Caenorhabditis elegans: one gene and its partners. The protein of the gene in region 4 interacts with the protein of the main gene of each other region in a pairwise test. Each region holds a gene or a part of one and is shown on either strand. Other genes may lie near its edges.

Region 1 (8,137 bases), on a different chromosome or scaffold from region 4:
ATTGGAGAAAGGAATTTGTGTGAAAAACATAAGAGACGGAAGAAAATTGAATTGAATCGAAAAAAATGGAAGGATGATTCACTAGTTAAGAGAGTGGAAAGAGAAAACTTGAAAAGTGAAAAGTGAAGTGAAAGTGAGAAAAGTGATGAAAAAAACAACGAAAACATTTAGTTTTTGGTGTTAATTGCAAAGTGTGAGTGAAGACGACTGATAGGAGGATATGACCTAGATGTGCCTATAAGTCTAGGAAAATGGATATGATAGCATTATCACTTACAATTAACCATCATATTTAACAAATTTTAATTCTGTGGATTTGTAGAATTTACCGAATTCTGCATGTTCTGAAAATTGCCGTGTATAAAAAAAAACTATTTAAAGAAAATTTGGTCCTTTTTTTAATACTTATTTTATTTAATAACTTTTTAAAACGTTTGTGTTGCTTTTATACTTTGCACAAGAACTCCACACGGCAACTTTAAAGAATTGCTGCACTTACATAGTGCTAGCCAAACTAAATATTTGTAGTTAATAGCGTCGATATTTTCGATGATAAGTTCCAAAAACAACTACTATATATGGAATAGAAAAAACAAGTTGTGGAAAGCTTTTTGATGATTTTTCTTGAAGACAACTAATATTTTGAAATACTAACAATAAGAAAACCTAGAGCATGTTTCTCATAGCGTTTTTAGCTGTAATTTGAAAAAAACTTTAAACCACCAATGTTCCGTCTGACTCATAATTTCTCAATATACCTTGATTCAAAAAATTGTAAGAATAAAAATAGTAGATCCACTTAACGGGCGGCAATTAGAACTTTGGAAAACTAAAGAAAGAAAGAGAGAAAGTTAGAGAAAAAGGTGGAAAGCGAAAAAAAAAGAAATATAAAAAAGTGGGAGGCTAAGTGTTTGTTGTGTTCGAATCACTTAATCTTTATGGGAAAACAACGAAAAAGAAGACTTTCACGGATGAATTGGCTTAGAATTTAGATGTGATGACGCAGCAAAGGCCACTTTGCGGAACGTTCGAAATAATCATGATTTCAGTTTATAAGTGTGTTGATGTCAGATAATAACTTTAATTTATTCAGAAAACTTTGATGTTACTCATTGTCAGAGTTGTTCAAAAAGTTAAAAACAAAAGTTTTACTAGCACTTGAAGGCGTAATAAAATATGAACTTTGGCGAAAATTGCGAAATCGATGTGAATATAACTTGAAACTTTCTTAGAACTTTTGGAGAACTAACAGTTTGGAAGATTTTGAACGGTTCGACCCAAAATGTACATTTAAAGATGTAAACAATATAGAGGATGTTTGATTACCTATCGGTTTAATTAACGAAATAAAACAATAAAAAAATAAAAATAAAATACCAAAAAATGCAATAAAAGACGATAATTCCAAAAAATTCAACATCGGACAGATGCGACACAGAAAAGTAAGCAAAGTTTGAGATGCTAGCTATAATCAGTGTACTTTTTCGAAATTTTGAACCGCCATAAATTTTGAGAAGTTTTTTGAAATTCGAGGAGCAACAAATAATAACTTAGGAGTGTTGCCTAGCACACCGAATTTTAGATAGTGACAAGTGTCACTTCTACAGTTTATAATAAATTAATGGCTACAAAAAGTCAAGAATGTAAATATTTGGAATTGTTTAAAACTCATTCATATATTCCGAGTTAAAAAATTCAGGTTTAATTCTTTTAGAACTATTATAAAGTGCAAAATATTACAAAGTTGGTTACAGATCTTATTATATTGTGTACTATAATATATCAAATACATATATTTCTGAACCATTTAGAAAAAAAATGTCAAAAAAGTACATAAAATGCATACACAATATTTATTGTCAAAATAAGAATTTGTAGAAAAATCATCAATGATAAGTTGAAAAACTATCAGGAAATATACACGCACCCGCAGATGAATAACCTGATAGGGGATTGAGGTAGGGAGAATGAAAGCTTAAGAGATAGATCAAGATGAATGGGTGGTATAGAGAACCGATTTAAAGCTAAGGAAAGAAAAATAAAGCAATTTCAAGAACCTAGAGAAACATTCAAATAAATAGAAGCTTTGAAGTAACGACTGTAAATTTACAACAAAAGTGCGTAAACAACACTAATCTTTTTTTAAGCGTCCGGTATATGAAATACAAACAATTTCATACTTCAATGGTTGAATCGCTTTTAGAATCATTAGAATCATTAGTTTCCGTTGAATCGTTTGACTCGCAGGACACTTCAGAATTTGCTGGTGAGATTTTGGAGAAGAGGAGAAATCTGAGCTGCGCGGCCTCTTGCTCTAAGCTTGAGACCTTTCCACGTAGTTGCATGTTTTCCCGTTCTAAAGCATGAGCTTTTGATGCGATTTGTTCTTCTTTTTGACGACGTGCGTCTCTCGAACGTTTCGCTGCATCGTTGTTTTTGCGCCGACGCTCGAAGTATGCAGAGTCCTGTAATTGCTGAGATTAATTGTGATTTGTTAAGTTTTCAGAAACTAGGAATTTATTAGTCTACAAAAGTAATACACAATTTGCGAAAAGCCTATCAACTAGGAATTAATAAATCTCTAAGCACAGTTAGCCTAGCAAAGAATCATAATTCTATTAGGGTGATAAATAAGTTTTGTCGTTTTTTTTTCAGTTTTGATTTTTTCTAGGATATTTTTTGTGGATATATAGAAGACAGTTAGAATGACAAGCCTATCAATATCAGCCATGATGGGCACCGTTAAGATTATTTCCAACTCCGTTCTCTGCCGATCAAAACATTTAATTTTTCCGATTTTTGTCATTTCTTTGGGAAATCGAAAACTTATACACCCTCAGGTAATAGACTATTAGTTTAGCACATTAGTGTAATAACATCCTCATACATAGCGTATCGATACAACAATATCAGTTGAAAGTGCCGAAAATGCTTGCAAACATGACTTTTTAAACTTTGAACGACGCTAACTCCTGAAACGTAAAAGATATGAAAAAATGATCAACTACAAAATTAACAAGCATTTCAAGCACTACAATGTGTTAGTTGATGACTGTTCTGTATCTTTTGTTGTTTTTGAGTTAGGGTCAGTTGAAGTACGCTAGGCCGAAATTTTGATGATACCATTTTTCCCCATTTTTCCATGTAGCTTCAAGATAAATTATTTAGAAGAACTTTTTTAAGCAAAAATACAATAATTAAATAATTTTATACATTTCATTAGTTGTACGTTTTTAATATTTCATATCCCCGAAAAGATATGAAGCACACATACACTACTAGTTATTTCTTATGCGACTTTTTGAGTTTTCATATACTTTATTAAGGAATATGCCAAAGTTATTCCGTTTTATAAAACAAGAGCTACACATTATCGCAAATCCCATATTAAATATCAAAGGAAAAGTATCTCATATTCACGTAAGTTTATTCAAAAAATCGGTGTGACAGTTGTGTTTTGTGTAAGCCTCTCTTCTAACCACCGTATGCCGTTCACCAGAATGAGTGGGTTTTGTTGTGTAAAATGTACGACCCCTCTATATATTTTTCCGTATGTTTTATGCTCGGAGGGGCACCGCCCGTAAAAGAAAACTTAGATGTAATATGCGTTAGGCCAAAAAAGTTTGAGTCTTTTGTTACAGAAGGACATTAAAGTTTCATAAAACGACAACATATACAGTGCCGACCAATATTCTATTCGTTTTCGCTTTTAAGGTGATTTGCTTGAGTTGTTCAAACAAGTATAACTCGAATACGATAACATCTAGCAAAATATTTTTAATTAACAAAATGTTGCCGTTCATTTTGTCTACACTCTTGATGTTGGTTTACATAACTTTATTACGAAAAAAGCTACATCAGCTGAAATCAGCCGGGACTATATTTTGACTAGAATTGCTAAGTGACCCACAACTTTGTGCTCATGAAACAAAGTTTAATAAGAAAATAATTTGCACCAATTTTTCTACACTCTGCCATTTGCAGTTCTGTCATCAATCGACCAGGAAAAATAATACAGAGGATTGAACATGATTCTCAAATTTCTAGATTTTGAGCATGTTTTAAAAATCCTATTAAATAGCTTTATATAATAGTTTTTGTAACGAAAACTTACATCACGAATGTTTGCAACATGTTTGAAATGTTTTTAAACTCAGAACCTAAACAAAAATTTTGCTCGCATTTACAGAAAATTTGGTCAGTTCTGACTTTTGTAATGCATGTTTAGTCATCTGTATAAATTTCCCTGGGCACTTTGTGACAAAACAACAAATTGCAAAAAGTTGAAAATTCTGTGGAAATTATTTTTTTAAATTACACATGTAGAAAAAGTAACCGGTAACATTTTGTTAGTTGAAAATTATTTGTTAACTATTATAGTATTTAAGTAATATGTGTTTGAAAAACTCAGGCAAATGGCCATAAAACCGAAAGCAAATAGAATATTGGCCGGCAACGTGCCACTATGATATTTGGCCATTTCGCACTGGCGCTACGAAAAATTACAATTTTTTTACAAAATGAGAATGTGGGTACTTGTACGACGCAGTAAATATAGCTTACTTAGTATTTGATGCTAGCTGAACAAGAAGTGATGCTGATCTTAATTTTTTGAATTCCCGCCTCATTTGAATAATATAAATGGTAGCCCAAGTCCTCTACGGGGGTATAGTTGCGCAACACCCCTTCCTGTCCGGTCATGCCCCTCTCGTATATTCATATTCAAATTCCTCCACACACATGAAGGTTTCTCTGTCAGGTAGACTGTATGTAATTACCCCTTCTTTTTCTTATGGCAACAGTTGGGTGGTGCTAAACAATGAGCCGAATCTCGAAGAGCTCTTAATTGGAGGCAGTCTGTACCGCATTATCCCAGGAACAACCAGCGGATTTTTGAATTGGGATTGTTAGGAGTAATTATTCATTAGCATAGCTTAGAGACAAAATGGCGTTGACAATGCTCCGCACTAAGAGGAAACTCCAGGAATACGGTAAATAAGGCAACTTATAATTATAATAGTTTGGGTGGGGGCGTTAATACTAGTTGACTTTCACACTATCAAAAATTCTGACACCCATAAACCATCTCCAACAGACACCTCGCGGTCGTCGTTGCGTAACTAACAGGAGTCGTGTTACGTAACTGTAGTGATTTGAACTTAAGACCACGCAAATACGATTTATGAATATTTTTAACCTCATGGTAAGTCTCTATTGGTTTTCAGATTTTTTGGAATTGTATACACTTGAAACTTAAAAAATTGAAACAAACCTTTTTTTCTTCTGGAATCGGAACCGACATCTTTCGTGATGGTGACCGTTGGGGACTTGAAAACTGAAAATAATTCCAATAGTTTTATAAGTGCTAATAATTTTTCCCAACTCACGTGTGAACTGCTAACCGTACTCGACCTGCTTGACACTGGACTGGCACACAATTCATCTTCTAGTTTGATCTTCTTGGTTGGTGTTAAAAGATTTGTCGTGGGCAGTGAGTCAAATGGTAAAATCCCCAACGGAGTGTCCAACTTCTTTCCGCCGGACTGTGCAGCAAGTGCAGTCGTCAGAATAGAAGTTCCGTCGTTGAATGGGAAACCAAGTGAGCCGAGCAGTGGTTGAACGGCTGCTTGATTTGTGAAAAGCGCCGATAGTGCTCTATGAAAGTCCATTGCGTCTGCTGTGATAATTTGGGGCTAAAAAAGACACAGATTTATTAACTATAAGAGAGTTGAAGAGGTAAATGTTTGATTTTCAGTTTAAACTTCCGATGGATAAGCTAAGTGAATAGTTTTAACCCTAGAAGACAAAGGCTAGATGGAAAATTCCCAAAAAAATCCTTTAATTGATGTAATAGGGTACGTCAATATTGAACTTTTGATTAAAACATTTTTAGAGTTTCATAAACTATAAGCTTGAAAATTCAACTATAGACCAGCCATGTTTCAGGTTACACCATCCAATTCCGTTTCAAAAAAAAAACAAAGATATGCCCATGGTAAATTAAATTGAACAGAAGAATATATTGGAAGGTAGAAAAGAAAGAGGTCAAATGTTTGCACAATCATAAAAAAGAGTAAAAGGAAATGGAGGAAAGAGACAATCTAGGATTAGGGTGGAACCTGAATTGGTAGAGGTTGTTAGATAAGCGGTGAGTACTGATAAAGTCAATGTGGATCCTCAAGTTACTTAACAAGTTTGAAAAGTTGTGTTTAATCAAAATAATTGGAATTTTGCTTGTCATATCTTAAAATGAAAAGTTGAAGTAGGCTAATTGTTATTACAAAAGAGTATATAATATAATTCAAGTTTTTAGCTCTAGAATACATTTCTTAATCAAAAATGATCACTGAAGAAAATTCAAGATGCATACGTTAGATGGGGAGGAAATGAAATGACCTCTACAGTAGTCATATTTGAAATCTATATTTTTTTGTGAATAATTTAAGTTTTATCAGAGTATTGTAACTGGAAACATCTTAAGAGTTTTGCGCGATTTTTGTAGTTCAAAGTTACATATGATTTTTTATTAGTAGAATCAAAAACTAAAAAAAAACGAAGTTGTAAGAAATTGGGTCTACTGGGACCACCCTGTTGCCCCATATACCCATCGGAGCATAAGAGTGATTGCGCGTCGGCTGTCTCGAGAAATGACAGGCGGTATGCGGGATGAGGGTGGCAGCATTTTCCGCCCGCCCTCCAAGAGGTCACCACCGGCCATCAGAGGGTGCAACAGTGCGCAACACTAGAGAGCACGGGAAGAGAACGAGACGCAGAGCAACCGTATGCAATGGCATTTGAATATTCGTTTTCTATGAGAGATAGGTGTCTCGTGTGCATTGGAACGTCGGCTCTTCTTCTGAAGAGGAGAATGAGGGGTTGGTGGTAGACATGGAGGAAGAGACAATCATTACGCAAGTATTTGAATGGTAGGTAGTCATTAGGTAATAAGGTTTGTTGGGTTACGGATTTGTTGAAACATTGAATGAATGTTTTGATGCTGTCTGAAATCACCTGAAATCAATGAGAAATGAAGATTTAATTACCAGCAGTCAGTATTCTAAAATTCAGGGTTTTAATTTTATGGCCTTACTTTCAACAATTAAACCCTCACGTTTGAGAGCACATCTTAAAAATTCAATATTAGAGGGATATCATTAATATTACCACCAAGGCTTCACATGCATCCGAAATCACTTCTCTTCATGCAACAATATTCATCCTCCCGACCTTTCATCCTCTTTCAAGTACCATGTGCTCATCGGTCCCTCTTTTGAACTTACGCAATGGCTAGTAATACTGCGTAACTGTTACAAATCTAGCCTACCGGAGGGTATACGGGGCAGTGCTGTGGGGCTCTCGGCTCTCGGCGGAAGCCGAGAGCTGAAAAAAATTTGAACTCGGCTCTCGGCGCGAGCCGACTTTTTTCAAGAGCCGCACAGCACTGATACGGGGTTTTTGAATTTTTTATTGGAATCATATTTACATTATGAAGATTTACGCTCTACTTCAGGCTCACAATCCTGACACAAACTTTGAAATTTGATGAATCCAAATAGGCGAGTTTCCGATTCTCCGTGGCAAAAACAGCCGAGTTCTTGTTCTATTTGGCACTGATCTAAAGATAGGACATGTTTGTAGTCTTTCCTCGCATGCTCCGTTTACGATAGCACATGTGTTGAGCGCAATTAACTTCGCGCACATCTTCCTAATCCCGACAAAAACGCCGACGTCTAATTGATCATTGAATTATTATCTTCCAAAAAGGACTTGACACTTTTTCTCCTCATCGAAAGCCGAATCCACTTGTCAATCATCATTCTATAGAATTCAAGCAATTGCCAATTTTTTATGGATGACTTGCACAGGCGGGTATATATTCAAATGGAATTGAATTTGAATTTGTGAGGTTAAGATTTTTATGTATACAATAGTAAAAGATGAAATCATGTCAGTAGTACCGCTTTTTTATGCTAAAATATCACAGTGAAGCTTTTTAAAACTTTTTTGAAATTTCTCTATGTGTACTCAATTTTCACTTATCATAACTTTTGAAATGGACCAAAAACGGTTTTTGTATTCGATAACACCAATGAGAATTCAGTTCTTGGTTGATATCATGTTTAGAGATCTCAAACTT
Region 2 (6,436 bases), on a different chromosome or scaffold from region 4:
TCAACATCGAAAGAAAATGGATTTTTGTTGCGAAAAGAGCCTGTGAGATTGGCGAGAGCACCATCAGCAATTCGGAATCCGAATGTTAGCAATTATGATAGGAAACGTCGTGCAGCAAGTCCATATGAAAAGAGCAATCGTTTATCGGTGCTACCCAGTCCTCAAAACCAATATCTCTCACATTTGATCGTTGATGTTTCATCTCCTCAAGAACTTAAAAGACTATTATCGGTTTTGGTAAGTACTTTTTATAAAAATTATTATTTTTGGTTCCAATTTTGGAATTGGATCGAAATAAGATTGTCATGCTCTTCATTTCTCTAAAAGTTATTTCTAAATGTTTTCTGTTTTTTCATTCATTTTCGTCTTCATTCAGTGACATCTTCTTTGAAGAATAAAAATTTAGTTGGTAGCACCCTTCAATTCACGCTCACAATCGCCGAAACATTGCGTGAAATTAGAGTTTCCGACTGTGAGCGCAGGCAGAGAAATAGTGAGCGAAGAGACATTGGAGAAGTAACAGGGTGAAGAGCGGTGCGCGAGCGTGTGCGCGTTGCGTGTGTGTGTTGAGTGTAGCTTTTTGTGAGCTTTTCGCTTGAAATTATTTGATTCTAACTATTATAAGCTAAATCAGGTAGCAAATGAAGGCAGAATAAGTTTCATGTTAGTTCAAAACGAAATTTTAAAAAAATTTATAATTTTCAGATTGATCATGGATTCTCTCGATTTCAGCACATCGGAAGTTCGGATATGGTGGCATCGTCTATCAGAACTGGTCAGTGTAAAAAACTTCCCAAATTGTCTTTAAAAAGCGAATTCGTCACAATCAAAAAAGTTTCCGTTTTTTTTTGTTGATTCTCAGTATTTTTCAGATAAAACTGAAAATAAAACATCGCAAAATCGAGAAAAATGAAAGAAATGTCCGAAAAAAAGTCGAGAAAACTATTGTTTTATCCAAAATATGTTGATTTCGATGAGAAAAATAAGAAACTTCTTTTAAAAAATAAAAAAAATCGGAAATTATGAACAATTCTTTATTTTTTAAAAGAAAAATTTAGGTTTTTTTAACAACGAAAATTGAAAAATCGATAAATCAATATATTCTTTTTCGGATTTTTTTCGAATTTCGGAAAATCGATTAAAAAACGAAACAAAAACGAGAAAATTAGATTCACTAAAAAAAGAAGAAATTTCGTTTAAAAAATTTAAAAAATGACCGAAAAACGGAAATTGAGAGATGAAACTAACAATTTTCCTATTTCTCATCAGAAAATTATCACATTAATTTAATTGCAGCTGTTATTTAAATTAAATAAAACATTTTAACCGTTTTTTCAGGTATACCTCGAGCGCCTAGACTCGATACGGTAGAATATTCCAACTATGAACATGAACCTGAAACAGATGAGATTTCTCGAGATGGAACACCATTTTGGTCAACACCAATTCCACCAACTAACAAAGAATTGCCGGTTTCCCCTGTATCACAATTGGACATGACGAATTCAATCAAGAGCAGGTAGAATTAATAAATTAGAATTTTCATTTCATAATTTTTTTTCAATTTCAGAGTGGAACGTGTTGATGTAGAAGTTAAACTGGAACCTTGCAATGACGAAGATGATGAATTTAGTGAAGAAGTTGATGAACAAACTGCTGAATTGGAAGAACAACTAGCAACTGAAGCTATACGGACTGGTTTGGCACTTTTTGGAAAAGTTTCCCCATCTCCAAAACGAATGAAATCATGTGGAAGTTCTGGAAGTGTTTGTGGAGATGTAGTCACAGCGATTTGTGAGATTTGTGGAATTGGAATTCGCCTGAATTCTGGTGGTTCTAAATGGAATTTCTTTGAACACGTAATGATGAAACACTCCACTCATAAACCATTCAAATGTTCCCAATGTCCATATCAAGCTGTACGAAAAGTTCGTGTAAAGCAGCACGGACAATCACAACACAATTCGGAACACGAACCTGTGAATATGATGTGAGTTTTTATTTTGAATTTAAAAAATTTTAAAAAAATTATTTTTTAAAGATTTTAAAAATTGTGCGACAGCTCTTTTTTAGTTGAATCACTAATTCACTGAGATTATTTTTTTTTATCTAATCTCACTCGAAAAGCATGAAAGCCGGTTTCTGTTTTAATTGTATAATTATTTTAAAATGTACGCAATTTGTTTTATAAATTACGAAAATTGCTACTAATGTTGCAGCTGCACCGCAAGATTTTTTTTTTCCATTCTATTTAAAATGGTAATTTTATCCAAATGTGAGGATAAGCCAAAAATTTATTTTTGGCATAAACCCGCAAAAATAGATTTGAAATTTTGAATAAAATGTAAATTTTAGAAATTTTTTTTTCTAGATCATATTTTAGACTAAAAATGTTTCAAAAGAGCATATTTAATTTTTTTTTTAAATTCAATTCTGTCGCAAGATCGCTCCATTAAAAAAAATTAAAAATGTTTGAATAAAATCCAATTCAGACGATGTCCATTTGAAAACTGAATTTAATTCGTTTCATTCCAAAATAAAAAAATCTTACAAAGTCAATTTTTTTCAGAACACCAGAAGTACGAAAAGAATGGCTGGATACAATGGCAAAGTGTTTCCCGAATCATCAATATGGAAAAGAAGCAAAAATTTAATAGTTTCTTTAAATTTTTTTCGTTGATATTTATAATATTTTCTTTTAATTTTAAGTTTTACAACGCAAATTTTGTTCTTACTCGATTTTCAATAAAATCGTCGGTCTTTTTATTATTTGTGGTAATTTCTTTTTTCTTATTTAAATAGTTATTTCTATTTCTGAATATCTTTATCGTGCTCTTGTAATTCCTAATAATATAAATAATATACATAGGTGTCGTCTTCGTACGATTCGAACCCGGCCGGGATGCCGAAATTTGTGGTCATCGAACTGAACGATGATGCAGCAACGATCGATCTTCTCAGTTATTGCGTGAGTTTTTTTATTTATAAAAATTATCTAAAATATTGATTTACTCATTTTCTCTGGTTTGAAACTTTGCATAGAACTTCCAATTGTACCTCTGATTCCTTTTTCGGTCCATATTAACCATTGGTATCCCCTAATTATTCGAATCGACTTCCTAAACAAGGGTGCCGCTGAAAAAATTGTCGGTTTTTTTTGTTGAGAAAATCCAAAAAAATTCACTTTTGAAAAAAAAACGAAAAATTCCGTTTTTTTTTTAAAGAAAAAATCGAAAAAAAATTTGAAAACACTTTTCTTATACGGAATTCAAAATTTAAGTTGATTAAAGTTTTTTTTCAAACAAGTAACCGAGATTTTATTATTTTTTTTGGACTTTACAATTTTTTAAGTGTAATTGAAAATCAATAAAAACTTTTTTTCTGAAAATCGAAAACAAATTTTTTCCGTTTTTTCGCTCTTCCAAAATCCGAAAAAAAGTGCGGTCTGATGCTAACCAAGGATTTCTTTTAAAAAATGTCAATTTTTCTGTTTGAGAAATAATCGAAAATCTAACTTTTTTTTGAGCAATTTTTGTTAAATTTTGATAAATTTCGAAAAATAAATTTTTTAGTTTTTTTGTCTAAAAATGCCAATTTTTTTGAGAGATAATCGAAAAACGAACTTTTTTGGTTTTCCGAAAAAAAAATCAAAATTTAATTTTGTTGAATATAAAACACAAAAGAAAATATAATTTCCTTCTAAAAAAAGCCCAGGCGCTGAAATTTCGAGCAATTTTTGAGAAATTTCGAAAAATCAAAAAACCAAAATTTGTTGAATTTCCAACAAAAAAAACCGAAAAAGCGACACCCTTGATCCTAAAATGTAGGGATTCAACATAACCTATAACTTCTATTCTCTTAGAAATCAGATTTTTGAAGTATAGACTAGCTTGAACATCACTGCAAACATTTTTTTTATATTTCTCCTAAAACCTCTACTCTATCAATGATCTCTCAATTCCAAGCTCTTTCTTTCGCACGATGCTCATTTCGAATTCGACATATATAGCTCCTTTTTTCGGTGCTTCTCCTGTACATAAGAGATCGATGAAATCAATCGTCGTGGCGCTCTCATAAATGTGCAGAAAGGAAGCAAGAGCTGCAGCCAACTGCTGCATCGGCGTCCGTATTTTTTGTTCGCTCTGTTCCCTTTTCCATTTATGCGAGCAACACGGTGATGCTACTTTCATCGACGAGAGATAGTATATGTTGAACGGAGGATTTGAATGTTTCTGTTCACGGAGCAACCGTCCGTTTTCTTTCTCTCAGTATCATCCTCTACCCTTTTTCGAAATATTTCTATATTTGATACTGGAAATTGGTTAATTTTCGCATTTGACAGGTTTGCTCATTTATCGAGATTTTTTAAATCTAAATTCTAAAATCATTAGCGACAATAACTAAAAATATAAATTAATCAATAATTTTCCTGAAACATTAAAATTCCATTTAGTTCTGGTATTTCTGTCCGAACTAATCTTGTAATTGAATAATCTATATTTCATCACAATGTCTTTCTTTTTCTTCTATTCTACGAATACATTTTTGCCTGTACGAGCTCATAATAGAACGCGTTGGCGCCTGCCTCACTTTCAGCATCGTCCGAAGTGTACATACCTCCTGTTCTCCATCATCGTCTTCTCCCATCCCTTTCTCTTTCTCCCATACCGGGTATTGAGCGCCTGTATGCACAATGCACACAACTGACAAAACTGTACTCGTCGCGTCGTTGTCGCCGTTGTCGTGTGCCCCGGCGAGCGCAACCAACAACAAAACTGTGTGAGCGCTGTTAACACCATTTCTTCTATCACCTTCTAAGCATCCCGGTTTGAAAGCGGGTGGTAAGGTGTCCGATATTATAAAACCGCAGCACAATGCTTAGAATGTGTGTGTGTGTGTGTGTGTGTGTGTGTGTGTGTGTGTGTGTGTGGTGTATGCAAATATTGCCGGTGGAGCCGAAGCCATAAAAATCGAGCACATCGTCAGTCTGACGGTATCATTGTGCATCTTTTTTGATACGACTTTTCACTTTTCCGTCACTACACTTAACCTTAAGTCTGCAGACTTCTCTTTTTTCTATAGTATAGACTCTTTATCCCCTTATTACAATAATCGTCTTTACGAGTCCTCATTGCTTCCACTCATTGACTATCCGTACTTATAAAATGAAACTCCTTCTTATTTCTTAATTCTTTGTTCACTTCTACAAGACGCTCTTGACTCCAATTCATTCTCACGCGATTTCGCCCAGTGAGTGTCCGAAATAAGGTCAAATTGTGCATTATGTGAAGTGAGAGTGAAAGGGTCTTCTAAAGTTTTGACCTGGGATACGTCATTCTGAGATTTTATGGTAGGAAGTATTGCTCAAAATCTAGAAGAATTTTTGAATGGTTTTCAAAAAATTATCGACTAATTAAGCAGTTAAAGTACTCGAGTAGAATTTTTTTCGTTGTTTTGAGTTTTTTTTGAAAAGTTAAAAAATGTGCTATCGTTTTCTTTTTAACTCAAAGTAACGTATTACTAAATGTTCCGAAGATCCTGTTAGAGTATCCGTGTCGTCTTTTCTCTCTGAGTTTATGGTATTATGGGAACATTCGCGCACAGTGCGCATTAGTCGTCTCCGTGATCTTTCTCACTCCTCCGTAGCGCATATTATTCCAATCCATGACTTTCTCCTTCTTCATGTCCAAGGAGCGAATGCATATCTCCGTAAAGTCACCCGTCGAGGCCGCAAAGACGTACACCCGCACTTTCGGCTCGCGATGACCTAAATTCTGTGAACGGTTGGACGACGGAAGAAGTTGATGAAATGGTGCGACCTCCTCTCCGCTCTATAAATCGACCCCGATTGGAGCCAATTCAGATGAAATCGTTTTGTGCGCACACACGCTTGTCTAAATCGGATTCGTTCTACCAACGTGATTCACTCGTCGTTCAACCATTATTGCACACAATAGAATCGACAAATCGACATAGGCGCTGTAGGCGACGACGACGACGAAAACGAAGTGATGAGCGCATGCGAGACGAGGGCACCACTCAAACTGGTTTTCGAATCGCTGAGTTACAACCACAGAGGCGGTCGGGCATCACATAGCGAGGCCATCACACATTTTCATTGTGTCAGAGCCACCAATGTCAGAGGAATCGTTAAACACCGTGCATCAAACAAAAAATCAGTGGAAAGGAACGATTGGAGAGTACTGAAGAGAAGAATGGGTTGCTGTAGGAGTGAGCATACGATCAAAAATTCAAAATGTGTAGAATAGGTGTTTTGGAACTTTTTTAAATTCCAAGTGAGCTGTTTGAAGATTTAGCATTGTTTTGGAAGACATTTTTTCAAAATTATCAAATACTAAGGCAAAACAATTTCTTAAAAATTGTCTGAAAATGTGAAATTGTATCTAAAAGTTGTCATTGGCAAAATTTAAAAAAT
Region 3 (9,477 bases), 6.0 Mb from region 4:
TTTTGGTTATCATCCTAAAAAATTTCACGTCGTTTTCCAAGGTTATTGAAACATTATTGTACTTTTTGTGAATTTGGTGCTCTCATAACTCATTAAAGATCAAAACAAATTGAAAACATGAAAATTAAAATCAATTTCGGAACTAAAATCTTCGTGACACTGTAGATGTTTGACTTGATCATACGTTCAGACGAAACAACAAAACATACAGGAAGAAGACACATATGCAAGCATTCACACCTTCTCCTAACATCCTTGTCTTCTAATTTTGTAACATTTCCGAACGGACAAAAAACCACAGAGATAATGTTAGAATGATATATAATCCTTGGAAAACCACGAGATCGTCAAAATCACTTGTTCTCCCTCCAATTTTTTATCTACATTTGACGTTTTCCCAAATGTTCATCCAATTGTAATTCCACATGCCTTATCTATTGGAAGGTCATTACTATGTTCCAGACGCTCTTCTCACTGCCACAAAAAACCGGGTTTTTTTCTCCATCGTAAGGAGGAGACATAGTGCGGAGAGGGAGGAAGTCTCCCTGCTGCAGCTAGTATGGTCTGAAAAGATCCCGTCGTCTTCACTTTAACCTTGCCGACCTTCTAGGCCACCCGCAACGGCATCCCCTCTCCCCCAGTGCCTTCTCTCCAATTTTTTCATTCTCTTTCTTCCGAACGAAACGGTGTGAGTGTGTGTGTGTGTGTGGGGGTGGGCGCTGCGTTTTTCTGATGAGGTGCGCGCAGCTCGATTTTTTCTTTACATCTTGCGCCCCCGGGCGACAGATAGAGATGATGCCCGTTGCTGCCTGCCGCCACTGCCGCTGCTGCTGCCATCGACAGTTTCTTCTTCTACATCGTTTTTCTTCTTTTTTCTTCATCGTATTCCCAAAAAAGCTTGTTTGGCACCCCGCGACACACGCACTATCTCACCCCCTTTCTCTCTTCTTGTAAATGCCATTCAGAAACCGTCACCTCCTCCCCCCCTCGATCCCCGCCATCTCATTTTTTCATTGCCATCCGCGTAAAGTCGTTTTTCCGCCCTGCCACCCCCAGGTGTAATCCGCCCCATATCAGTTTGCCAGCTTTTGCACTTTTAGTTCTACCGTATCCAATGCCTGCGGTGCCCCACCCCCAGAGATTCCTTCACTCCATATTTGCTCCCCACCATTCCTCACACCCCAAATTTCTCTTCCTATCCTAGAACCTAAAACATAGAACCTAGATTTATGTATCGCAATCTTACCGTTCTCCTCCGCAAACGTAACGTCATACTAGATGCGAGTTTGCTCTCCAGTCACTTCACCCATCTCAATTACCTGTTAGCACCATCTGTCCATCTAGACCACCTTCCTGCTAGTCTCGAACTTGTAGTGGTGGTTACGCGCAATTGACAGTAATCCAGTATAGACACACAGCCATGCAATCATCAACATAATTGTGCTATAATCCACCTGGCATTACTTTGCCTTCCTTGAGATCCTGTTCTTTTTTCTCAGGTTCCTGAATCTTATTTTTGTGCTGGTTTCAGATTTTGATCATTGAAAATTTTCATTTTATAACATTTTTACCCTATCCACCCAATCCATCAAATCTCTTTTTCGTGTTTATGATGCAAATTTTGTGTAATAGTATATATGTTTTGATGTTTCGTATCTTACACACCATGTCTGGATGCGATAATTAATCCATATTAGTTCCTCCTGTTTTTTTTAATGTTCATCAACTTTTTTTTCTTATTGCTCCTCGTAAAGGTCCGTAAGATACCTACTGCCCAGCGAATACACACTTTACCACTTCTCTTACAAATATAGTAAGCACACAGTAGCTCGTCGCTATGAGTGCAAGTCAAATCCGGAGAAGCAGCTTATGGAGTACACGGGGAGGCATCGGGTTGAGATGTTTGGCCAAACCCGGAAACCGTATCTCGGTCCTTCTTCGCCTCCGCCGCCGCGAGACGACAAACAACTAGGCGAGGTCACCTAGCTGCTCTCAAAACCGTGGACCAGGCTCTCGCTAAATCAAACACACTCATAACAAGTCCAACTCGCAGTGGTTGCTAAAGAAGCTGGCTATCCATAAATTACTGCCTACTCCCCAAATTCGTATCCAGGCGCGTAACCAGTAATTTGGCGAGCCGTTGTAAATGCTTGTCAATGTGATCATACCTATGGATCCGGCTCCTCCTTTTCCCCCTCCTCCGCTTTTTTCGCTCCGATAATACATATTTTTCCAGTCACTCTTAGTATTTCCATTTTCCAATTTTCCCATATATTCCTATATCCGCCTGTTACCATTTCCTATACATTTCCTTTCTTATCTTCTGCCATCCGTAAACACACCTGATTATTGTGTGCAAGTCTCGTCGTGCCATATTCCTCGCTTTTTTCCCCTATTTTTCCTCGTTGTTCTTCTTTTTGTCGCCCATTTTCGTCTCATTACCAGATATTCCCTGTCAGGGTTTTTCATTTTGCTATGGTTATCATTTCAGTGATCTCAACAATGGATGAACTGAACGCTTGCACAGAATGCGGATTCACGACTACTGTATTTTCCGAGTTTCAAGGACATATAGGTAACCAACCTGTTCGGTGATACATGAATGCCAATTCGTTTGAAACATCCACCTACCCGCGCTTTGTCCATCTTTTTTTCATCTTAGAACGGAGACAAACCCGTAAAAATTCGGATTTGTAGCGGTTTAGTGAGCGCTTCAACCCATTAACTAACCCGCTTCTATTGCGTTTCACATTTAGCAACATTACCCCCTAATACTTTTTTTTTGCAGAGAAGCACGAAAACGAGCACAGCAGGTCTTCAAGCGGAGAAATGTCTAACTCGCAGGTATGTTATGGGAGAGTAAAATTCATCCAGAAGAGTGAGAGCGTGTGAGTGAGAGATATAGAAAAAAGGTTGCGTCATAATGCCATATTTGCCTAATTAGTGCCAGAGGTAGAGAAGATATGTGAGGGAACAACAGAACGTGGAAAAAATGAAGAGGGGAGGGATGTTGGATGTGACGTTGTAACACGTCTTCCAGACATGCCCCCTGAGACTCGTTAGAAACATTGAGACCAAGGCTTTTCAGACAATCGAGTGGGGAGATGGTATTCAGTCGTCCACGCCGTCGCCACGGTCCACGCCCCCTTCAGATCCAACGCCGAGTCCGGACTCGGATGAACATCTTGAACATCACATTTCGATAACAGAAATCACAAACACTCTCATCAAAAGTAAGTTTTCTTTGAATTGCATTTTCTTACACACTGGAATGTATTTCTATTGATGGTTAATTACCAAGTACCAATATGCAATTGTGAAACCTAAAAATTTCAGAAGAACCAGGCACCAAAGGACAAAAGACGGTTCACGTTTGCCCGCACTGTAATTTCACCACTTGTATGTCGCAACACATGAAAAGCCACTTGGTAGGTTCAAGGATTTTTACCCGTTTTCTTGAAAGCATTCTCTTGTTCTATAGGTGACGGAAGAGTGAAAGATACTTTCAGTACATTATTACGCATGTTCCCAAGGGTACAAATTAATTTTAGCATGTAAATCTGTTGATGGATATGAAAGTCTTTTCAATTTCCCTCTTTTCCACTTTTCATCAATTCCTTGTAAGGTGGGTCCTGTAAGTCAACACTCCGTGAACCTTTTCTCTTCTCCCACTCGCTCCATGCCGCTTTTCTCACAAACTACTGTTTACTTTCTATCTACTGTCCAGTTAACTGCGTCTCTCACTTGACCCTACTGTTTTTTGTTCCGACGGCCAATCCCATCACTTCCCGAACGGTCATCGGGATGAGTAGTAGTGGAGTGGTATGGGAGAAGGAGGCAGGCTCCTCATATATTGGCTTTTCTTCTTAAGGATGTTGCCTTTCATGTGAGCCGGTGTCATACTAATTGGTTAAGGCAGAATCTTCCGAGAAACCAAACCAAAAAAAACATAGATTTTCCCTTTTTCGGTTATGTAGTGACATCAAGCGGTAGAGATTGGGATGGGTGGAAGAAGATGGGAGGAAAAAGAGGCGTTTTTGGAAAAAGAAACGGGAAGACCAGATACGGGGGCAGTACAAAAAACGTGATGACCTTAGAAATCACATGACATACCAGTGAAGATTCTTGAACATTTCAGGAAGCGCATGAACGCCATCAAGGCCAAATGTACCAATGCGACATCTGTAAAATGCAGTTCAGCCAGAAGGTGAGCAATTTTTAAAACATTTTCTGAATCGGAATCTGGTTTTCAAACACTCGACAACTTTTGAATCATTTGGATTTTCCAAGTATGGTTATCGTGCTGATTGATCTTCTTCTTTGATTCCCTTTTCACTTTCTTCCTGTGGTTTATCAATGTTGCGTTTTCAGGCTAACATGCATCGTCATCGGATGCGCCACAGCGGTGTGAAGCCATACGAGTGTCGTTTTTGCAAAAAACGATTTTTCAGGAAAGATCAGGTATGCTTGTCTGGCATATTTTTTATTACCCTCCACCTCCTAGCCCCACCATTTAACGGCTGTTGCGTAAGAAGCCGCTGCCGCCTTCCGTAACTCAAAAATCGTGTTTTATCTTCAATTTACGTAATCAAATGGAAAGTGAAACTGATCTCCCGTAAGGAAAGGGAAATTGAGGGAAGAAGGAGGCGGCGGATTGCCGCCTGAAGGTCGTTTTCAATTTGGATATTTTCACTTTCCCGGAAATAAGAAGAGTCTCTTCCATGGATGGCAGGGAACTGCCGCAGTGCCCATCAACCATTTCTTCAAGCGCTCTGATGATATCTGTTTGCCCAAAACCGTTCTTGAAGGTCGACGAGCCTGAAGAAAACAGGAAAATCGGGGGGAACCAATTTGACGGTATTGGTGTCAGGTTATGCCGTCGAATATGAAAACGGTTGGCGCGTCTTTCTTCTCCGATTCTTCATACTATCCGACGACGTTGGTGAAGATGAGAAGTAAAAGACCTTGACGATAGCACGCGCATTTTCTTCGGAAGATCCTACCTCCCATCCTACCTTCTAGCATCTTCTCGATGTCTCCATATTTTTGCCGCTCTTTACTGTGTACCTTACCCCCAGGGCCAATCAGTAAAAAAAAGAAGAAATACCAACCGTCGGCGGTTTTTTTTTTGTTCTAGCTGCGTCTCTGATTGGTTCCCGAAAAGTTGAAAGCCATCACCCTCGCTCGCATCAAAAGGGGTTTTTATAATGAAAGACAAAGGTTGCGGGGCGAGGAGAAAACCAGAGAAAATTGTAAATTGTAATATTGTGTGAAAGTGAAAACCGATTTTTAGATGTTAAAAACATACCGTAGTCATGTTTTAAACATGTAACTTAAAATAAACCTATAACTTTCAGATGCAAGAGCATTCAATGACACATATCAAAACGGGTTTTGGTTTCGACTGTCCAGTATCACAATGTAACATGCAGTTTAGTCAGCACAATGCACTCCGAGCACACTTGGAAGAAACGCACACAATTTCGTCAACAAATCCCGCGTCATGTAAGCGATGTAATTTGATGTTCGCCAATTCGCGACGTCTTCTCCTTCATTTCCAGACAAGACATGACGATTCTGAGGTAAGAGATGTAACTTCAGATTACACGGAAACGTAACACATGATTAGCGAGCAGAACCTGAGCCTTATTAGGTGATGTTTTTCTCGTTCTCGGAGCTTAATTCGGTTGCCCCAAGAGACGCACTTTCCGTGGAATCTCTCTCATCATGTGATATCCTGAACGTGAACTCTTATTTCTCATTCTGATTTTCAGTCTTCTCCGAAAAAAGAAAACACGCCAAAAAGGAAGAAGCTGTCGAATGGAAATGCTTTGCCAATGGATCCTGCGAACATGAGCATAACAGAACAGTTGCAAAGAATGGTGAAATCAGAGTTTAGCCCTCCAAACACCGACACCTCCGATAACTCCACAAGTTCTGAATTCGACAAAATTGTAAGAATCTTTCTTTCGTTTCTTTTTGAATAAAAAGCATTTCCATGATTCCATGGTTTTATTTTCAGCCACCAAGCTTCCCTATGGCTAACCCAGATATTTTGTTGATGTGTCTAAACCAAATGAACCAGTTCAATGGATTCGGAGAAAACATCCCAAGACCAATGCTCAACATTCCAAATATTCCATTGCCGGTATCAATGAAACCTTCACACTTTCGCTAATTAACCTTTGCATTTCAGGCTCTTCACAACATTCCAGCAGTGGCAGCGATTGTGAAGCAGGATCAGGTGCAACTCTGGTCAGAGCAGACGTCAAGCTCTGTGAGTGTCAGTGCTCCAAGTCCGAGTGAACAGTCGCACTCGCCGCCAGCCAATGAGTCATCACTTTCGTTAACTGAAAAAGAGAAATCACCGACTCCCGAAAAAGAAGACGAGGAGAATGTGGTATGTGTTATCGCTAATAACAACTTGTTATTGAAAATGTCACCATTTTGTTTACCTTTTTTCGAAGTGCAATTAGAATTGTGAGCATCGTCAACAGAGTTTTTTTTTCCAAAAATTGGGACTTTTGATCCATTTCTTTGTTGATGCCAAAATTTGGTTTTATCAACCTTAAAAACATAGACTGATTAAATGATTGCCAATTTGTTGCAACTTTCGGAACGTTCTCATTTGAGAAAAAATCTAAAAAAAGAGATAGAAAAACCGAACATTACACCATGTATAGTTTGATGAGGAGGTTTTCAATTTCTCGTAGATGTCACAAGTTTTCTTTGAAATCTGAAGGATGATGGATTCTCTACATCACCCACCTTATCAGAACTATCAACTTTCTCTTCCGAAATTTGAATTTAAAGGAAAACTATAGGTTTTAGGTATTTTGAACATTTTGCAATGAGACTTCTCAAAAAATTTCAAAAAAAAAGAGTTAATTTTAGCTAAAAGCCCGGCCTTTGCCTTTTCCGGTTCGCAGCAGCTGATACCATTCAAAAAAAAGTTCGGACTGCTGCAGTTTTTAGCTAGAATTTGGCAGGTTTTTTCAAAAATTCAAATTTCGATTAAAAAAAACTTTTTAAAAAGTTTCTGTTAGAAACTTCATTGCAAAGCTCGTTAATTCGTGCGCTTTCTGTATATATACTCAAAACACTCATAACCGTTACTCATTTAATGGCATCTAACTCTAGAATTATTTTAGGAATGCTGTCATTGCGGAATGATGTTCTACGACAACACAATGTACCTGCTCCATAAAAGTCTTCACTCGGACGGTGATCCTTTCAAATGCGCATTGTGCGGAACTCAGTGCGGCGAGAAGTACATGTTCACTACTCATGTCATTTTTGCCGATCATAGTACTCAAGCAACGACTTCCGCCTGAATTCACCATCATCCAAGAAATATCCCCCCGATTGCCTTTCAGTTTTAGTAGTCAGTCTAGCGAATCCAAAACACCCCCATTCTTTCATCCACATTTTAATTTTTGTTTTTTTTTTCGGTTTTCTTCGGTTTTTTTCGATGCATATTCACAGTCAATTCTGATTACCTCTTTATTTGTCACTTTCTTTCTTCATAACAGGGAAACAACGAATGATTCTGCTTCTTCTCATTGATTCTCAACAGCTCTTTGTCTCTATCAAAAGTATTTGCCCCGTGTTTTTGTCTATTTCTCATCAATATTAAACCATCAAATATCATTATTTACATTTTTAAAAACTTTCTTCATCTTCTCCTGATTCTGCTCTCTATCTTGTTTCAATTCATTTGCACACGTGTCAAAAGTCATTTTGGACCCGTTAATTTTTTCCGTAACCTTGCATTGTTAGGTTTTTGTTGTTAGTGTTTTATTTTCCTTTCTCACCACCACCCCTCATCAAAATTTGTACAATTTCAATGATTTCTTCGAATGTATTTTAAACTAGTGAACTTCAACTGATATTCAGAATTTTTGAAGGCCTCCTTATCTGTTCCACCCATCCCAAACATTTCTTTCCGATTAGAATAGTAATTTTATCAAGCTTTCTCTCTGTCCCACTGTCCCATCAATTTTCTTCCCATTTCAAAATAAATTTTGTTGAAAACATACTGGAGAATAGAATACTAGAAAAAAGTCATGGTGGCTAGGAAAACGGCTAAATGGATTGGCAGGCAGTCTGTGATTGACATTGGCCCAGCGTATATGGTTATGAGTCGTGTGCTGCTCACTACGGACAATCCGGTTCAGTTGGGCAGTGTCCCACGGGGACTTGCCAAGAACCCAATGCATCAACATTGTGCTCTGCAGGACCAACAATAGTGGCTCTCTTTCTCATATTTTTGTCAAGATTAGCGACTACTAGATCAGTTTTATTTATAGCCATTTGTAAGGACATTTGAACTATTTATGGGTTGTTGTTTTATTTCAAACTGCATCTATATTTGTTAGCAGATTGATAAAAAGTAGAACTATCACAACACAAATTGCAGGTGCCTTTCGTCAGTTATCTGACAGAACATGATTGAGAAACACGGTTGGCGAAGTTTCCAGTTTTTGCCATATTTTTTTTACAATTTCGCATTAAACCTAAAAATTCATGTTTATTCACATAATTTGATGAATGAAAAATTAGCTTGCTGGATTCTGAAATTTTGCAATTTTTTCCTCACAATTTTATGCACAAAAAATTTTCAAAAAATTTTGTTGAATATATTTTTTGAACTATAAACAAATGTTACATTTTTACATTTTATGAATTTTAAAAATTCAGAAAACAATAAAAACAAAAATTCCGGTGCTTTTTAAAATATCGTTTTATGAATATTCAGTTTGATAATTTCCAGGAATTACTATTTTTTTTAATTAAATTTTTTAATCTCAAAGACGGAAGTGTAAAAAATTGTTTTAAAATTTTCCAAAGTTTGCTTTTTTTTTTCAATTTTTTCAATTTTTTCCAAAAAAAAACAATAGGAAAACAATCTTCGACAAATAAAAAAACAATCTTCGACGGAAATTCCCAGAAAGAACAGAAACTTGAAAATAGAACAATTTGAAAATCATAAAACTTTTTTTTTTTGATTATACATTACTTCACTTTTAAGTTTTAACGTTACATTCCTTTTTCAAAGTTTGAGCTTCAATTGACAAACTGCACTTGCTGAATCTCATTTTCCCGCAATGTTTCAACGCCGTTGTTCAGTTTTCCATACATTTCAATTAATGTCCTTTGTGCTGACATCCCGCTGTGACACAGTAACTAATCGCGTTGAAATATGTGACTTGAACAGTTTGCAATAATTTTAATTTTTTTTCGCTACGTTTTTCTAGTTGCTTTCCACATTCTCTTAACAGTTTGCTAGAGAAAAAAAATCAGTTTGCGGGAGAAGAACTGCTTCCGAAGAACAACTTTCTGATAAATGCGTTTTTGTTAGACAACCAACAAAATGTATTCGTGGAAGAGCACATTTTTCACTGCCAGTTCATGAGGTTCTCGTTTCCCTCAATATACAGAGATAGATAGGAGTATAATTACAATTATCGTAAATCA
Region 4 (6,505 bases):
TTCAAAAATTATAAAAAAGAGTAGCATTAATGTAATGTAATAATTTTAAAAACTAAAAGAAAGTAACAGCATTTGATCAACAATAATTACTTGATTGCTCTCTTGTTTAAAGTTTAAAAAATTTACGATAAAATTAGACATGAACTAATAAATATCAATTGTATAAATTATTATTAATTGAGCACATACAGAATGTACCTGTTTAGCTTTAAGAATGTTTTCTGCAGTTTCTAAAAGATGAGTGACGCAAAAAATAACAATAAAAACACAACTAGAATTTTTACTGCATTTTCAACCAAAAAATTTAGCATTTTGAAAATTCACTATTCACTTTGTCTAGTTGTATAAATATTTTCTTATTTCGCACACACATTTTGCAAACAAAAACAAAAAAGGGTAGTTTTTAAAAACATCTTAAAACGAAACATAACGTAATGCCCTATTGCATGTATTGTTATCGGCAATTTGTATTTCTGATATCACTTGAGAAAATAAAGTCAAGGATACAGTTTCCACATAGTTGATCTCCGTGTGTTGCCACTCCTCTCAATATGGAATATATGGGCGGCCTGTTTTCGCTTATTTTTCCTTCGCTCGGCGTCTATTTTCTTCGTCTTTTCTCCACTCTTTCTTCTCACTCGTCAAAACCACATAATGATCACGTGAACCTTCACTTATTTTTCACCTGCTTCTTTTCCTGTCCTCTACACGTTTGTCTGATGTTTAATCACAGTTGTTTTCCTGCCTCGGCCTCTTTTCAAACTCCTCGGGGTGTTTCCTTTTTTTTTCCTCTCTCTCTTTTTTTCTGTAGTGCTTCCTTTATTTCTCATTTTTCTTTTCTTGCTTTTCATTCACCAGGCCCCTTCTTTTTTTTCTATTTCTCATCCATCCAAAGTGAGGGAGAAAAAGAGAGAAAAAGAGTGAAAGAGTGCTTTTCTGTGCACACATATCACTTGGTCTGTTAGTGTCATGGGACCCCGGGGCATTTCCTCCTGTTTATCGTTTTCTCTGGGTTCAAACGAGAAAGGATCTTTCGGAATTGTCAAGGCTCAAGCATCTCTTCTGAGCCAATGAGTGTTTTTTCTCTTTATCACAAATGTCTTTTACTTTTTACACGCTTTTTACAAGATTTGAATGATTTGTTTCCGAAGAGATAGAGAAAATAAAGATATTAATCATGAAAACTTGTTAATAGAGTACCGTAATTGGTGAGGTTTAGCTTATTTGAGTGCAGAAAAATTTAAATCTTGAAGTTTTCTTGGCGAAAAATTAAAAAAAAAACAGCAGAACTGTGAAATAAATATTTGCAGCTACCAGATACATCTATTTTAGTCATTTGAATTATTGAGAAAAACAGACTACATAAATGAACTACAGTATACAACTTGAATTAAAAAAGGAGTTTTTGACTGAAAAATAACCATTTTCTAGCTTTAATAGACATAGTTTTTGGCTTTGATTTTTTGTTAACGAAAGCAACTAGAAAACATTCAAATTTCAAATGTATTTAGTCATTTTCTGCATATCAAAACTATTTTTTTAAACCTGATGCTCCAAGTGTTTAGTTAAATTTATATGTAATAAATAATTTTGTTTTCCATTAATATCAGTTTTGATAAAACTAAAGTAATACAGTAGTTATCCACCACAATTTGGTGCCCTGATTGTCCTCTTAATATTTTAATTGTACGAAATTTTGCCATCAACCAACCACACTCACTTTTTTTGGTAACTTTTCTTCCCATTTCTCTACTTCTCTTGCATTTTGTTATTTCACAATAGTCCACTCTATCTTCTTTTTCCAATGTCCCTCTCAAATCATTCGCGCCCTGTTTAGCACCCATAGAGTCATTGATCACTTGGCCAACAGCCGGTCTCCCGGTAATGATAACGGGAAAAGTCAATGAACATTGAGTGAGAAAAAGAAAGAAAGAGAGAGAAAAGGACAGAGAGCAGCAAATGTGTATGTCACACACTCTTTTAGTCTCATAGAATACTAATCGATCACAATCACAAGTTACAAAGAAGTGTTGAACATTTTCAAGAGCTGCAAATCTGTGATAAGGTGACGAAGAATTGAGGTGACGTACTCTTTTCCCGTTTTTTTAAATTGTGATAGTGTGAGTGAAAAGATTGCGCGAGTAATGGGTAACCGTTTCGAAGACTGAACTGCATTCATGAGAGCCTCCAATCTGTTGCAGGAGTCAAAGTGAGGCAATTTGCGTCTTGATTTGATATGAATAGAAAAAGAATGAACGACAATATATTGTCTTCTGTTTTGATTAATGATTTATTTCAAGACATTGTATACAGTCTTAAAAACATTTGGCAACGGTTTTAGTAATTGTTATTTTTATTCCCCTTCATTCATTGTAATGAAACATATTAGAGAAATCAGTATGAATCAAATCAGAACGACGTTTGAATTGATAGGAATGAAGAAAAAACGTGACCACTCTTCCCCGAATCATTAAAAGTGAACCTTGTACCCAGTTTGCTGTAGACAAGTAACTTTCATGCTAATTATGGTCTCATGTGAACGTCACATGGTTCCAATCACTTTCTCATTATTTTTTGTAATACGTCTTCATCTCTCATTTTCCCCCTTATCTCACTTTGTTTTACGATGAACTTAACTTACATGAATCAAACTTAAAAAGTGGTTTTAGAATTGGCGAATGAGCCATCAGGCAATTGGAATCTCGAACAACTTTCAGCAGGTACAACGTGAGCAGCTAAATCATCAACGATTATTACAAGCACAGCTCCAGACTAATGGACCTGGAAGTGTTTCTCAGCAGCAGCAGGCTTCGCAGCAACAACAGCAAGTGCAGCACGTCCAGCAGCAACAACAGTCGCAGCAGCAACAGCAACAAGTTGCTTCACAACAAAACCAGCCGCAATTGCAAATGAATGCTCAGATACTGCAAGCTTTGTCAACACCACAAGGACAAAATTTAGTTAACATGCTTTTGATGCAACAGGCACTTAATGCGCAACAGACTGATACTCAGAATCCACAACAAATTATGCAACATCAATTAGCTCAACAGCAGGCACAACAAGCTCAGCAAGCTCAACAAGCGCAACAAGCTCGACAACAGGCAGAACAACAAGCTCAAGCCCAAGCTCGTCATCAAGCTGAGCAGCAGGCTCAGCAACAGGCACAGCAACAGGCGCAGGCACGGCAACAAGAACAACAAGCTCAATTAGCAGCTATTCAACAGCAAGTCACGCCACAGGTTTGTGTTTAGTACAAAATTGATAATTCGAAACTTTGATTTTTATTTTAAGCAATTTGCTCAAATATTGCACATGCAACAGCAGCTTCAACAACAGCAGTTTCAACAACAACAGCTCCAGCAGCAACAACTTCAGCAGCAGCAACTGCAACAGCAACAACTTCAACAACAACAGCTCCAGCAGCAACAGTTACAACAGGTTCTACAGGTGAGTTGACACAGAAATAGCATGTTGATAACTTGAAATTGGCGTTATTTTATTTTTTTTTTCTTCAGATCTCACAAGCCCAACAACAAGCTCAACAAGCTCAGCATGTCCAGTCTAGACAAATGCAGCCGTCCCAACAGAGCCAGGTACAGGCGCAACTCCAGCAGCAACAGCAATTGCAGCAGCAACAAGCTCAGCAGCTTTCACAGCAGCAGGCGCAGCAGCAACAACAATTACAACAGTTACAACTGCAGCAATTTCTTCAACAACAGCAACAGCTTCATCAGCAACGTGCGGCTGCCCAACAAGCTCAGGCTCAGAACAATGCTTCACAACAACGCCCGTCGGTTGCATCGACGCCTGCATTGTCTTCAACTCCACAGTTGAATGATCTTACACAGACAATGCAAGCCCAGCTTCAACAGCAACTGCTTCTCCAACAGCAACAGGCTCAGGCTCAACAAGCTCAACAAGCTCAGCAAGCACAACTAGCTCAACAGGCTCAACAGCAACAGCAAGGGCAGTCTCAAAATAGAACAGTTTCTCAAGCACTGCAATATATTCAGTCTATGCAACTGCAGCAAAGAGCCGATGGAACCCCAAACGGTACGTTTAAATTTTGTATTTTTCTCTGTTTTCATTTTCTCACGTTCACACGCTTCACAACTCTGTGTCTGTTTCCCTTCTCTGTTTTCCCAGTTTCTCCCTTCCCGTTTTCCATCGTTTCCCTTTTTTGCCAGTCCACATACGTTCAACCACACAACCACACCACAACTCTTTGAAAATTATCCGATATACGTATATGACATCAAAAATATCATAGAACATTTTGTTTCCATTTGTTTTTTTTTGAAATATGCATGCAAATAGATAGTGTGTAAACCAACAATAATTAGAAAGTGATAAAGAATGAGATTTTTGTAACCATTACTTCAGCTTTTCTCCTGAATCATCTTCTTCTCTTTTTCTGTGCACCACCTTCTAACCATTGGTTGTTCAAACACGCTTACCCAATATTTTTCCCCTTCAGCAGAGTCACAAGAAGAGAGGTTGGCTCAAATGCTGAACGAACAACAGCAGCGGATGCTGCAAAATCAGGCGCGCGAGGCACAACATCGTCAGTTGCTCATTTCTTCGACGCCTGCTCCTCGAGGTGGTATCACCATGGGAACTCCAATTGGTATTGCAAGGAGAGAAGAGCAGCCGGTACCGTCTACGGTGGCGGTAACGACGGCACCGGCTGCAGTCCGCACGCCTGTTGCTGTGCCACCTATGAAACAAAATTCTAACCCTTCCATGAATCCATCATCCACATCTACGTCTGCATCTGCCACAAGCAGTCATCAGATTTTAGCCCCCTCGCTCTCCAAACCACTTGAGCAGCCTTCCTCGTCGAAGGCCGCATCGTCTGGCAACGAGTCGATGTCGGACCACATCAGCCGAATCATCTCTGAGAACGAAGTCATTCTTCAAGGAGACCCGGTGAGTGCCGAATTCTTCTAGCGTGATGGGTTTTCTTTTTTTGAATAATTCGCCCCCTGGAGTTTGATGAAATGATACGGAAACAATACCAGACCAAAATAAAACAAAACCTTTCATGTTTTTATTCATAATTTCAAATCTCATTTGTCCTTCTGTTTGACGTCTTCGAATCTGTCCATTTACAGGTGATTCGCAAAAAGCGGCCATACCATCGGCAAATAGGTGCGCAATCCTCGGTCGATCACGACAGTAATAGTGGTGGTGAGTTGTGGTGTGGTTGAGTTTCTTGAAAGCATCGCTCCATTACCCTTGTCCTTCTATCCCAAGACAAGATATTGTCTCCTTCTATTACTCGCCCCAACGTTTCCGCTATACCGTCTCGATTTGCATGCCAGTGCGTGTCTGCACGTGTCCATATCTGCATATTATATATTGATGAATATTGTGATTGTCCCGTTTGTCCCTTAATGTTTTATATTTTTCAGGATCAACAAGAACTTCGCCTGGGCCAAAAGACAGTCGTATGTTGCAAGCTGCTAGTCGGAGCCAGAGTTTATTCGAGCTTAGTGGATCAAAACATTTCATGGGCAGCTTGACTAGTGGTCAGCCATTGCTTCGTCCGATTCAGGCACATAATGATCCTAACTACACACCGGAGTGTATATACTGCAAACTCACGTTTCCCAATGAAGCTGGTCTCCAAGCTCACGAAGTTGTTTGCGGAAAGAAAAAAGAGCTAGAAAAAGCACAAATAGCACAAGAAGGAAACCCGCATAGTGCTCTGAAGCGTCGTCACACTCATCAAGATGCAACGTTAGCAATGCATTCTCCACTTGCAGCCCACACACCGTCGAACATGCCTGGTCCTTCAGAGCCTGCAATAAAGTTGAAAAAAGTAAGTAGTCTTATTTAATTAGCATTACATCATCGTTGAATGTTTTAGGATGACTCTACTGAACTAGACGGTACATCAAAACCTGACGCTCTTCAATCCTCCTCATCATTTCCTAGAAGTTTACCAAAGGAGTGGGAACAACATATGTTAACGCTTCAAAATCTTGCCGCCATCATTCCGCCATTTGTAAGTGAAAGACTATACAGGATCCATACCAAAGATAAAACACCAGAAATTAAACTTGTTTCAATTTTTGGAAGCTTTTATTTTTTAATTTTAAAATGAATACTATGTATATTTTTAAAACGTACAAAAAATTGTTTTATTTTCCAGGTTCAAGCATTTCTTGCCAAAGTATTACAAACTAAACTGACAATGGTTTCTTCTGGAACATTGACACATATTTATGAAAACTACAACATATCACCGATTTGTGTTAAACAATTTCTTCACTTCGCATCGCAACTGACCGATCAACAACTCGAAGAAATGACAGTTGAAAGTGAGAAACAGTATTTGGAGAATGCAGAAGAATATCAAGCAAAAGGAATTGTAAAAACATTATTATCTTTCAAGATCAAAAACGAATTTTCTTTTCAGATCCAAGCCCTCCCGTGTGATAATTTGGAAGTTACTGAAATGTTAAAGCAGCAAGAAACCATCATGAAAGGCCAAGTC

The links.
Region 1: the proteins of sma-9 (region 4) and ces-2 interact in a two-hybrid assay, tested with the Caenorhabditis elegans proteins (one large-scale study listed by BioGRID).
Region 2: the proteins of sma-9 (region 4) and lir-1 interact in a two-hybrid assay, tested with the Caenorhabditis elegans proteins (one large-scale study listed by BioGRID).
Region 3: the proteins of sma-9 (region 4) and ztf-16 interact in a two-hybrid assay, tested with the Caenorhabditis elegans proteins (one large-scale study listed by BioGRID).

Annotation. Positions count from the first base shown.
Region 1 is NC_003279.8:14,959,059-14,967,195, reverse strand, and holds ces-2 (Transcription factor ces-2), read right to left. Parts: upstream 5,700-8,137; 5' UTR 5,670-5,699; coding exon 5,388-5,669; intron 5,336-5,387; coding exon 5,273-5,335; intron 2,466-5,272; coding exon 2,175-2,465; 3' UTR 1,835-2,174; downstream 1-1,834. UniProt on the Caenorhabditis elegans protein: Transcription factor. Required to activate programmed cell death in the sister cells of the serotoninergic neurosecretory motor (NSM) neurons. Negatively regulates the activity of ces-1 which in turn negatively regulates the activities of cell-killing genes.
Region 2 is NC_003280.10:7,669,141-7,675,576, forward strand, and holds the start of lir-1 (LIn-26 Related), read left to right. Parts: upstream 1-2,864; 5' UTR 2,865-2,902; coding exon 2,903-2,968; intron 2,969-5,723; exon of another isoform or gene 5,724-5,859; intron 5,860-6,436. Other genes in the region: lir-2 (C2H2-type domain-containing protein), read left to right, coding at 1-237, 706-775, 1,339-1,519, 1,571-1,990, 2,570-2,654.
Region 3 is NC_003284.9:4,804,551-4,814,027, reverse strand, and holds ztf-16 (Zinc finger protein ztf-16), read left to right. Parts: upstream 1-2,487; 5' UTR 2,488-2,502; coding exon 2,503-2,575; intron 2,576-2,788; coding exon 2,789-2,844; intron 2,845-3,088; coding exon 3,089-3,233; intron 3,234-3,336; coding exon 3,337-3,428; intron 3,429-3,782; exon of another isoform or gene 3,783-3,920; intron 3,921-4,138; coding exon 4,139-4,207; intron 4,208-4,371; coding exon 4,372-4,461; intron 4,462-4,523; exon of another isoform or gene 4,524-4,664; intron 4,665-5,357; coding exon 5,358-5,582; intron 5,583-5,774; coding exon 5,775-5,954; intron 5,955-6,022; coding exon 6,023-6,148; intron 6,149-6,196; coding exon 6,197-6,400; coding exon of another isoform or gene 6,401-6,484; intron 6,485-7,151; coding exon 7,152-7,334; 3' UTR 7,335-8,030; downstream 8,031-9,477. UniProt on the Caenorhabditis elegans protein: Positively regulates the expression of ver-1 in the amphid sheath glia of amphid sensory neurons. Together with ehn-3, plays a role in somatic gonad development and is required for proper gonadal primordium assembly and somatic gonad precursor cell morphology.
Region 4 is NC_003284.9:10,770,413-10,776,917, forward strand, and holds the start of sma-9 (Transcription factor sma-9), read left to right. Parts: upstream 1-2,678; coding exon 2,679-3,242; intron 3,243-3,294; coding exon 3,295-3,450; intron 3,451-3,518; coding exon 3,519-4,056; intron 4,057-4,480; coding exon 4,481-4,932; intron 4,933-5,117; coding exon 5,118-5,193; intron 5,194-5,417; coding exon 5,418-5,827; intron 5,828-5,875; coding exon 5,876-6,013; coding exon of another isoform or gene 6,014-6,112; intron 6,113-6,160; coding exon 6,161-6,379; intron 6,380-6,427; coding exon 6,428-6,505. UniProt on the Caenorhabditis elegans protein: Transcription factor, probably acting as a transcriptional activator and repressor, involved in the TGF-beta-like dbl-1 signaling pathway.